Linked DNA regions of Drosophila melanogaster. The protein of the gene in region 1 interacts with the protein of each later gene in a pairwise test. Each region holds a gene or a part of one and is shown in the gene's direction. Other genes may lie near its edges.

Region 1 (6,917 bases):
TACACATAGTCAGTCTGCCACGCCCCTTTATAAACATACGGCAAATTTTGACAAAGCGGACCCCGGTCAAATTTTTTTTATGCCGTGAGTTTGAGATGACAACGTGACTGGGCGATAGTGCGTCTTTTAACGATGGCATATTAACGTTTATATATGAAAATTAATAATAAAATATTTGTACTTTTATCTTTAAACACAGGGCAGATATAAACAGTCTAGTTGTCTAGCAAGTCTAGTTCTTAGTTTAGGCAGTTTTAAATTCAATTGGCATGGGAAACGGCAGAGAATGGGTTTTTGACTTATAGGCTGCAAGTAACCACTATTTGTGGATTGTTTTATATAAAGACCTATGTTTGTTGAAAATATGAGCAAAGTAACATATAATCTCGCAGAAGGAATTAAATGCGGCATTGTAATTGTGGGTTATGATGCATTTGCATACCCTTATTATTTCAGATTTTGGTAACTGAAATGAATATGTAGATGCATACATGAATCTTAAATCGCATACATCGAGTCGACTTTTTCGACATTCTATTCAAATACATTAATATTTGTATATGATAAATAAAATACTGAAAATCGAGTGACTAAAAGGATTGGATAAAAAAAATAAAAATATTAGGTTTGGGACAAACAGCGTCTGCAGTGTAATAATGCACGCTTTTCAAATGGTACTGGACCGAACTTATTATTTTTAAAATATACGCTGAATGTCAGCTGTTAATAAAAATTAATGGTGCCCTCAAATTATGTTTTACAAAAATATTTTACCGACCGATTAAGCACACAATTTTTAGCTCCGTCTTTAAATGTTCTATGTTAAATGTGTTAAATATATGTTAAAGAATTTTCAATGCCTATAACCTATAAAGCTAGAGTATTAATTTGAAAAATACATATTTGGATAAAACGCACCTAATAAGTCTACTTTAGATGGTTACAGAATAAAAAAGAACGGGAGAACTTAAGTATTTTGAAAGTCCAATCCTCCGGATCTTATTATTTTGCTAAGGTGATTTTGGCTGATACAATTTACCCTTAACTTCAACATATTTTATTAAAGCCAAGCTAATTAATTAAACATTGTACATTTTCGGAACATTTGTGGCCAATGTAAGTATTATTTTCCAAACATCCAGGCGATAGTATTCCTAACGGAATTAACCAACACTGACGATAATGCCATCTCCAGCAGAGTTTTTGCAACTGGCCAGACGCGGAACGAAAACGAAATAAAAATAAACCCATTCATTCTGCTTTTTAGACACAGAAAAAGAAAATGGCCGATGTGTTGGACATTGACAATGCGGAGGAGTTCGAGGTGGACGAGGACGGTGACCGTAAGTAGCTGCGGCAGGCTTTGTAATCCACCGGTCTTATGCTTTCTATTTTCTCCCACGCCGCGCCGTGCACCCTACGCTCAAAACAGAGGGCATTGTGCGCCTGAAGGAAAAGGCGAAGCACCGCAAGGGACGCGGATTTGGAAGCGACAGTAACACCCGAGAGGCGATCCACAGCTACGAGCGTGTGCGCAACGAGGACGACGATGAGCTGGAACCTGGTCCACAAAGGTCCGTCGAGGGCTGGATACTGTTTGTCACCTCTATCCATGAGGAGGCGCAGGAGGACGAGATTCAGGAAAAGTTCTGCGATTACGGAGAAATCAAGAACATTCACCTGAACCTCGACCGGCGTACTGGGTTCTCAAAGGGATACGCTCTCGTCGAGTACGAGACCCACAAGCAGGCGCTCGCCGCCAAAGAGGCCCTGAACGGTGCCGAAATAATGGGACAGACCATTCAGGTTGACTGGTGCTTCGTTAAGGGACCGAAGCGCGTTAAAAAGTCCGAAAAGCGTCGCAGATAAACGACTCCCAGCCCCAAGAATAATTTTTTAAAATAGTTTAATGAATAGGCAACCGTACAAAGTCTATATGAATTGAAATAAATCAGATAACTCTACCAACTACCCTTTATACAATCAATTGGTTAGAATTATATATCTTATATTGGTATTCATTTAAAGCACTACGAGGTTTGAAACGCAAGAAGGTACTACTTCATCTTTTTCTGATGCAGCAGATGTTTTCTCAGCGCCTGCTGCTTGTCCTTGAAGCTCTTCTTAACCTTGGAGCGAGCCTTGTGTCGCAGCATGCCAAAGTTCTTGGTTTTGCGCTTCTCGCGGTTCGTCTTGGAACAGTGCTCGTTCACGCGCCCATCCTTCCAGCCAAAGCGCTCGCGATCCTGCCGGCCCGCCTGCACAGTCTCCAGCCGCGACTCCTTGTCGTGCTTGCGCTTCTTGTAGATCATCTCGATGCTGTTCAGCTTGACGAACTCGGCGCGATCCTGTTCAAGTGGTCTCTTGCGGGCACTGGTTACGGTCTTCTTAAGATTAGCCGCGTTGATGCGCTTGAAATCTTCGTCCGTGAATATGCGAGTAAGAGCCAGTTCCTGTGCAGCCTCCTTTTGGTTAAGGATCCTCATATCTTTCTTTTCCTTCTTGGCCTTTGCGGACTCTTCGCCACTTTCCACGCCTTCGTCGGAATTATCTTCATCCTCATTCTCCTCGTCATTACTGTTCTCTTCGTCTTCGTCTTCGTCATCATCGTCCTCATCCTCATCTTCGTCTTCTTCATCATCGTCCGCTCCACCACCCTCACCATCACTGTGCGCCACGTTAACCCATTCACCATCGTTTGAGTCCGTATCGTCTTCGCTCTCTATGTCAATAGTCTTAGAGTCCTTGAGCAGAGCCTCTGCACCCAAGACAGTGTCGTGGACTTCGCGCTCTCCGTAGGCTCGAACCTTTCGTTCGGCCTGGGCCTCTGTCTGCCTGCCTCGGTCCTTTTTGTGCAACAGGGCAGGCAGCTGTTCCCTGTAGAGTGTGATTAGCGACCGTGCCGCCATCATCACCGACTTCTCCTTGTACGTTTTGTACATTGCCAGGTCCTGCAGCAAATCCTCGCCCATGGCCAGGGGACATCGCATGCAAATCTCACGCGTCGCATTCAGACCTATGGCCATCACATCGCTGGAGTTGCGTTCAGTAATGAAGTTGTTGGCGATCGTCTTTAGGATAGGCTCGATGATGTCTCCGGGAACCAGTTCGTGGGACGCTTGGGCGGCAAACTGGAGCACACGTGTCACCTGGCGTTGGTGGGGTTGCAGAAAGCGTGTTATGTACGGATAGAAACCGAAAAGGAAGAGGTCGTGGATGCCGATCAGCCGGGAAATAACGTCCAAATGCATTAGCTTCACCTCAAATCGCTCGTTGGTGGCCTGCAGCTGCTTAAAGAGCCCTTCGGCCATTCCCTGCGGATTGTGCACCAGGTGAATGCCTGAGAAGTTAAAGGCTGGAGCGTTCTTTTTCTTTTTCTGGGCCTTCACCGCTTGCTTTTTGATCTGCGCCAGTTGCTTGGTCCGCTTCTTGGTTTTCTTATTGACTCGATTGGCCATCAGAGCACCCTTAAGGTCCACCTCGTTCTCGCTGTCAGTGTCCTCCTCTTCATCCTCTTCGTCGTGGCCGAGGAAGAACTTGAGCGAGGTGACCAGTACTTTTGTTACCTTAGAGAAGCACCCCACAGTGGCTATGACATTCACCGTCTTAGAATCATTCCATATGTTTTTCTTGTACAGCTCGATCATGATATCAGCGGACATCTTGGCTGCCTTCGGATTGGCATCCTTCAGCATGGAGTACATGAATGCCTGCAGGCTCTGCAAAGACATAAATGAATATTGATTGAGTCCAACAGTGGTAGCTGACGACTGCGTCTTACCGAATTGAGCTTCATGTCCTTGTGCTTGGCATTCATATTCTTGATGTCCGTCACAATGTGCGTTTGCAGAAAGGTGCGCAGATTCTTGTCCGGACACCGCAGCAACTGAAAGAACAGTTCCAGTATGTCCAGCGCGGGCACTAGGTTCTTGTTTCTCAGCAGGATTAGAGCTTTCACAAAGCAGTTACGCATAGCCGGGTCCAGAACGGTGGCATAGTTCTTCAGCAAATCGGAAAGACGCTTTGGGAACTCCTCGCAGACGGCCGGATAGCACTGAGCCACCTGGGCGACAAACATGACGATGTCATCCAGGGATTTGTTTTCTTCGCTGGGATTCAGCGCAAAAACTTCCAGCAAGCTAAGAAAGTGTTGGTACTGGATGTGGAACTCATCGCTATACGACTCCGGATCCCGCTTGATGAGGTTCTGCAACTGCGGAAGGTTCTCCGGCAGCTGGTTGTTGTTGGGCCGCACCATGGTGAGCCGTTATAACAGTATAAAAACTACGATTATTTTCAACCACGTTCTGTTTGGTTCGCAAAGTAAACGCACGTGTGGTGTGTGACCGTTTGTGGGTATAGCAGAAATGCCTCACCTAAAACTATGTTTATTAATTTAATTAAATTAAATACATTTAGTCTTATTTACATATAATTCAATAAAAAAAATATATTAATTAATATAAGCTATGTTGTTCACCCCCACCTAAGTATTAAATTACGCAAAACTTAATTTGCCTAGTAACACCTAGTTACGCTGATCTTTTTATTATTGTAAATATAACACGAGCTAATCTAATTTACATCTTTGCACTATTAAAGACCAATAATATAAACATAATAATTTAACTATGCACCAAGTAATCCTCAGTAAGTATGGTCACTCTGCCGCTCAGTGTTGCACAAACAGCTGCACTTTGGGCGAAGATTTTCTCTCGACTCGCCATAAAAAAAATGATGGAACTGCACGCAAATGACGTTGACCTGGAGGACGGCGAGGTAATCATAAGCACCCAGACTACCGAGCATCTAATGACCATATCTGCCGGCCTTTCAGCTATCGGAGAGCGACGATGATGGCGTTTACACGCCGTTGCAGCGACCTGACGGTGCGGAGAAGGTGGCCAGTCCCCTTACCACCTGCCATCAGATCCAGACTGCGTTAGAGGACGAGTCACAAAGCAACAGCGACTCCTCGACTGCCGAATCCTCCGAGGACGGGTGCATCAAGAAGCTTCGTACGGAATCCACCGGACCCGACGGCCACAAGAAGCGGAAAAAGCGCATTCGGCGCACGGTAATGCGGCGCGTTCCGCCCACGGATGCTGAAATGCAACCGAATCGAGCCCGTTTCAAGAAGTACAACGTGTGGGCTTCTGCCCTGCAAGAGGATGCGCTCAGCGAGAATATGCGTGGCTGCGACGTTACCCGAAGCGGTCGGGATCGAAATGTTGAAAACTACGACTTCTCATTGCGATACCGGCTGAACGGCGAGAACACTCTAAAGCGACGACTCTCAAACTCTTCGGAGGACGGCGGCGAATGCTCCCATCCAGCTCACAAGAGGGGAAGACCTTCTAGTCGGCCCATCACCGGGAATCAACAGCGCGGTTTGGTCAAGAGTAGAACGGGTCACCGGTCACGTCGTGGGACATCTTCGGCCAGCGGATCTTCCGATTTCTGCGAGCCCAGACACATTCTGGACTTAAACGAAGTGGGTGAGAGAGATCCTTCGGATGTGGCTACCGAAATGGCCAGCAAACTGTACGAGGAAAAGGACGAATTACTTGGTGAGTATGTGAAATAAATAATGCCCTACTTAGTAAATAATGCCAGTTTTACCAGTTCGAGTCGTGGAGGTTCTTGGCATAGATGTGTGCCTAGAGCTATACAAGGAAACTCAGCGCATTGAAGCCGATGGCGGCATGATGATCAAAGTAAGTAGTAAAGGATGTTCCCCCGAATATACTAACACGATACCTCGAAACAGAACGGCATACGGAGACGTACACCAGGCGGGGTATTCCTGTTCCTAATAAAGCACCACGATAACATCACTCAGGAGCAGCAGAAGCGCATTTTTAGTGAGGATCGCCAGAGTCTGAGCAAGTCTCGAAAGCAGATCGAAACGTTGATGCGGGACCGTAAGGTGGAAGAGTTGAAGAAGTGCCTCAGCAAGCAGGTTACGGAACTGCCGACGTTAAATCAGCGCAAAGAGTACTACATGCAGGGCGACGAGCAAAGTGAAGATAAGCAACCGGGCAGCTGTAAGAAGATCCCATTATTATTGTTAAATCTCCTATGTGACTATTTTGACTATTTCAGTGTCCAACCCGCCACCCTCCCCTGTTGGCGCTGAGCAGGAGCACGACAGCCCTGAGTACAGGACCCACGAGATCAATATAAATCTTGTGGACAATGCGGAACTTCCCTCCACATCCAAAGCAGCGGCGGCGGCTCAGGGAGCGCCGCTGAAGGATTTAATCAGCTACGACCACGACTTTCTGGACGTCAATTGCGGGGACATGGACTTTTTCTAGGCCCACGCCAAGCGGCGGGCCCCTTTTATACTATTCTTGCATAGATAGACCCATATTTGTACAATTAAATAAATGCCTAGCGAATTAGGAATCTACGAAAGTAACGGTTGCTAACAAAGTAAACAAACGCACGCGTTAGGGCATTTTCGGGCTGCGTGAGACAAGACTCGGCCAGGCGGTAGAGATTTCCGCAGTGTCGATCGATAGTGTCAACTCTAGTCGGCCCACAGCGACGACGCCGCGTAAAATATTTTTGTTTCTCCGCATTCGTTGAAAAACAGCGGCAATTGCTTGTTTTTATGTGTGGTGCGCGTCCCAGGCAAATGCAAACGAGTCCGCGACTTCAATTGCCGAACGCCTAACGCCACCGTGAATAGAAAATAATAGTGATGCGAAAGACCCGCTCTCAGACGGCTCGCACGCAGGCGGAAAATGCCGCAACATCTTCGAGCCCCGGGCACCAGTCGACTTCGTCAGCGCCAATAGCAGTTAATCCCTTTGATTCCACCAAGTACAAGGTATGTTTCCGCCAGTCTCAGTTTATTCAGTCCAAAGAATTTTTCATAAATATGGGGGCCATGGTTATTGATAAGCAGT
Region 2 (3,681 bases), on another chromosome or scaffold:
GTTTCCATTCTCGAAAGAATTAAAACTGTAGTTGGTATAATGCAGCAAACAGCGGACGCAGCTGTGGGAGCCCAGGACGCAGTGAATCTGATAGATTCAGAAGCCTTTTTGAGTCCGGGACACCATGAGCAACTAAAAAACCAATTGCAACAACTGCTTCAAGCCGTCTGCCACTACTGCCATGAGCGTTGTGCCAACATTGTGTCCCCTCAGAGCCTGGAAAGGAGCTCAGCTAGCGAGCAAGAACTTTTCCAACTATCTGAGATTGTGGATCACTTTGGCGAGACAACAAGGAGCATTTGTGGAGTGGCCAGTGTGCCCCTCCAGCTGGCCCTCAAAGTCCAAGCCTCCCGATATGCTCAACGATTCCATTCTGAACGAAAGCAGAAGTTGTCCTTACTCCTGGATCAGGAGCGCTGGCGCCAAGTAGACATTCCGCACGAATTTCAGAGAATAATCGAACGTATGGCCGCCGGGGACTATGCCAAACCGGAGATGGGCAATCTGATAAGCAATGGAGCAGGCAACCCAGTGCTCTTGGTGGAAGGCAAACAACCGTACACGTTGGTCAGCGCTTCGCTAATGCTCATCCGAATGTTGTATGAGTACGGTTGTAGTGCACATCGGCTGCCATTGTTAGCCAGCTATCACGCCAGGAATGTGGTGGACCTGCTGCGCTGCTTCAACTCAAGAAGCTGCCAACTAATTATCGGAGCAGGAGCAATGCGAGTTGCTGGGCTAAAAACCATAACGAGCACCAACCTGGCTCTGGTTTCGCGAGCACTGCAACTAGTTCTATGGCTACTGCCCAAGCTGAAAGAGCATTTCCAAGCGATGAGCGGATACGAAACTATCGAGCGGGACTACCAGGGTCACATCAAGGAGATCGAGAATAAAATACACGGAATTGTATCCGAGAGATTGGCAGCTCAACTGGATGCCTGGGAAGCCAGACCACCTATACCTTCTCAGACATTCCGTCACATCTCGCGTCACCTGGTGAAACTTCACGAGGCCATCGCCGGTGTGCTGCCGGAGGCACAGATACACGAAATCTACGGCGTTGTTCATCGAAACTTTAAAGACAAGCTGCGGGAACAACTGCTCAAGTTGAATGTGAACAACAATGGGGGTCCGCAGCACGGGGTGGTGACATCAGAGCTGACCTTCTACATGGAGACGCTGCGCACACTGAAAGCCCTGCCCGCCGAGCAGCTAGACAACGGGATTCTGGAGGAGATCTGGCTCTACTGAGCATTCCGAAGTATTCCATATGGTTGCCGCGGAAATCCTCCGACCGCCCAGCCTAGTTCGTCTTCATTGTTTGTTATCCTTGTTTTATTTATACAATACCGATTGTCGCGTCCAGTTCAGTCTATCTTGTTTGCCGCTGTACATTGCTTGTACTTTTATGTTCCGCCCTATAGCAAAAGGAAATTGGAAATGTATCTCTTTTGTTGCGCACTTTTTTAACACTTAAGCTTAAAGTCGATGGAAGGCTTATGATTAAAGAATAGAAAATAATCAACAAATTTCAATGCGTACAAATCAATGGCGGTAAACGATTCCCTTGTTCCTTTAGTATTATTATCGTTAGCTGGATTTCTATTTGGAATATATATATTTTTTAATGTTTAATTTAATCAGATGACAACCAATAAATAAAGGAAATCCAAAATTAAAGCTATCCTTTATGTTCAAATGTATATTCAAATTTATGCAACTTAGGGGTGAAAGTAACGGTCAGTTTGATATTGCCTAGAGTTGCCACTCAGTCGCAGTTGCTAGTAGCAACCGTTTTAAATGCAAAACAAACCGCAGTAGTTTAGTTTATGCCCTTTTCCTGCGATGCGCTTGCCGCTAATCTTTCATAGCCTGCACCAGCGTCTTCAAAAAATGTTTGTAAAGAGAACTGAGGGCGGCGAAAGTGCCACGCCCAGCATTCAGGACATCGCCGGTCGACTGGCGGAGGAGCAGCAGCGGCTTCGCCAATTGGAGGCCACAACGACTCCCAAAGAGCGGACAATTCTTGTCTTGGGAAGCAAGTGTGTGGTAAGCAATGGATCCAACTTATAAATCCACGTAAAATCATATTCCAAAAAAGTTATACACTAAAAATCTACAAACCCCTTTTTAAAAATATTATATTTTTTATTATTTAAGGGTAAGACGACGGCCATTAATAAGTTCTTTGATCGCGAGGAACACGCAACGCGGCCAACTCTAGCACTGGAGTACAGCTTTGGACGACGGATTGGCAGTGGAAAGTCACCGCAGGTGATGAACGTTTGGGAACTGGGCTCCCTGGACAATGCCGAGCAATTGCTGGAAGTACCAATGCGGACACATGGTTTGCAGCAACTAGCCGTCATCCTTATGCTAGATCTCTCCCAGCCACAGCGATTTTGGACGGATTTGGAGTGCGCATACAAGGGACTGAGGGATACGGCGCAGCAGATGATGGAGAAGGTAACACCGGAGCTTAGGGAAATCCTCGAACAGCGAACAGTGGAGCGAGTGGGTCAGCAGAACAAAGATTCGGAAAAACTAGACCCTCTGCCCTTTCCAGTGATAATTGTCGGTGGGAAGTACGATGTGTTTTCTGGTTTCGATCCTATTATCAGGAAGCACACCTGCCGCTGCTTGCGATCGATGGCCCACCTCATAGGTGGCGCATTGCTGTTCTATTCCCAGAAGATGCCCAAGTTGGCCAAGGTCCTGAGGGACACCATTTGTCACTTGGGATTTGGCAGTCCTGCTCATCCGTTCCGCTCTCATGTCGTGGACTTCAATGAACCACTGTGCATTTGGTTTGGAACGGACAGTTGGTCGAAAATTGGTGATACTGGCGCCCAAAGTGTGGAGCGAATTGGAGCCACATTCGGAATGGAAGTACCGCAGCTGCAGCTAGAGAAGCAGAAGCTAAAAGAAACCACCGATCCGGCCAAGGACCCTGGTTTCAAGGAGTTAGTCATCGATGAGATCCGATCGCAGAAGAACGAGGAACTCGCAGGATTAATGAGGGATGTCTTGCTGCGCGGAAAGTTCGAAAGTGTTCAAACTTAATAAGCGGCTGGGATTAAGCAAAGATGTACCTCAAAGTATTCTAAAATATCCAAAACAAAACTGTCATTTGATATTGTAAGTTACATACCCCTAAATTAAATGTTTAGAAAGCTGTACTTTTAGTGTCTGGAGTTCATTTTAGGTCTGAAAGTTAAAATTCGAAAAAAATTCAGCATTAAATTTATCAATTTATTACCACAGCTAGTTTGACTTTAGTCAAAAAATATGCCCCAACCTGTCGCTTCCAAGGCTCGTGTCATAAAAATTCTCAATCGGATTGGAGCCCGAGGCATTCTAACCGAAGTTCGTGTGCAGCTGGTCGATCAACCCAAGATGCAATTCATGCGGACGGTCAAGGGACCTGTGCGTCTGGGAGATATCGTGGATTTCGAGGACACTGAGTTGACATGGCAATCTTCGAGCAGGAGCAATAGCAATTTTGAAGATATATGCTAGGTGAATGCAGAATAAATAAAATTGAGAAAAAATACCTAACTGCGAAAATCAGCCTATAACGATTTTAAAATAGCAACTTTGCAATTAACCAGTAAACTTTTAATTAAGGGTAGCACAATTCCACAGAGTGGCAACGCCATGTCAGGGATGCAGGCTGGC

The links. Proteins that work in one complex are often made in the same cells at the same time.
Region 2: the proteins of Phax (region 1) and CG3769 interact in a two-hybrid assay, tested with the Drosophila melanogaster proteins (2 studies listed by BioGRID).

Annotation. Positions count from the first base shown.
Region 1 is NT_033778.4:9,109,614-9,116,530, forward strand, and holds Phax (phosphorylated adaptor for RNA export), read left to right. Parts: upstream 1-4,660; 5' UTR 4,661-4,734; coding exon 4,735-4,779; exon of another isoform or gene 4,780-4,837; coding exon 4,838-5,570; intron 5,571-5,625; coding exon 5,626-5,717; intron 5,718-5,770; coding exon 5,771-6,047; intron 6,048-6,105; coding exon 6,106-6,320; 3' UTR 6,321-6,417; downstream 6,418-6,917. Other genes in the region: tsu (tsunagi), read left to right, coding at 1,283-1,343, 1,433-1,869; Mys45A (mystery 45A), read right to left, coding at 2,058-3,719, 3,782-4,258; Su(var)2-10 (suppressor of variegation 2-10), read left to right, coding at 6,710-6,838.
Region 2 is NT_033779.5:9,433,662-9,437,342, forward strand, and holds CG3769 (uncharacterized protein), read left to right. Parts: upstream 1-1,737; 5' UTR 1,738-1,848; coding exon 1,849-2,052; intron 2,053-2,163; coding exon 2,164-3,066; 3' UTR 3,067-3,181; downstream 3,182-3,681. Other genes in the region: scat (scattered), read left to right, coding at 1-1,254; RpS28-like (ribosomal protein S28-like), read left to right, coding at 3,292-3,522.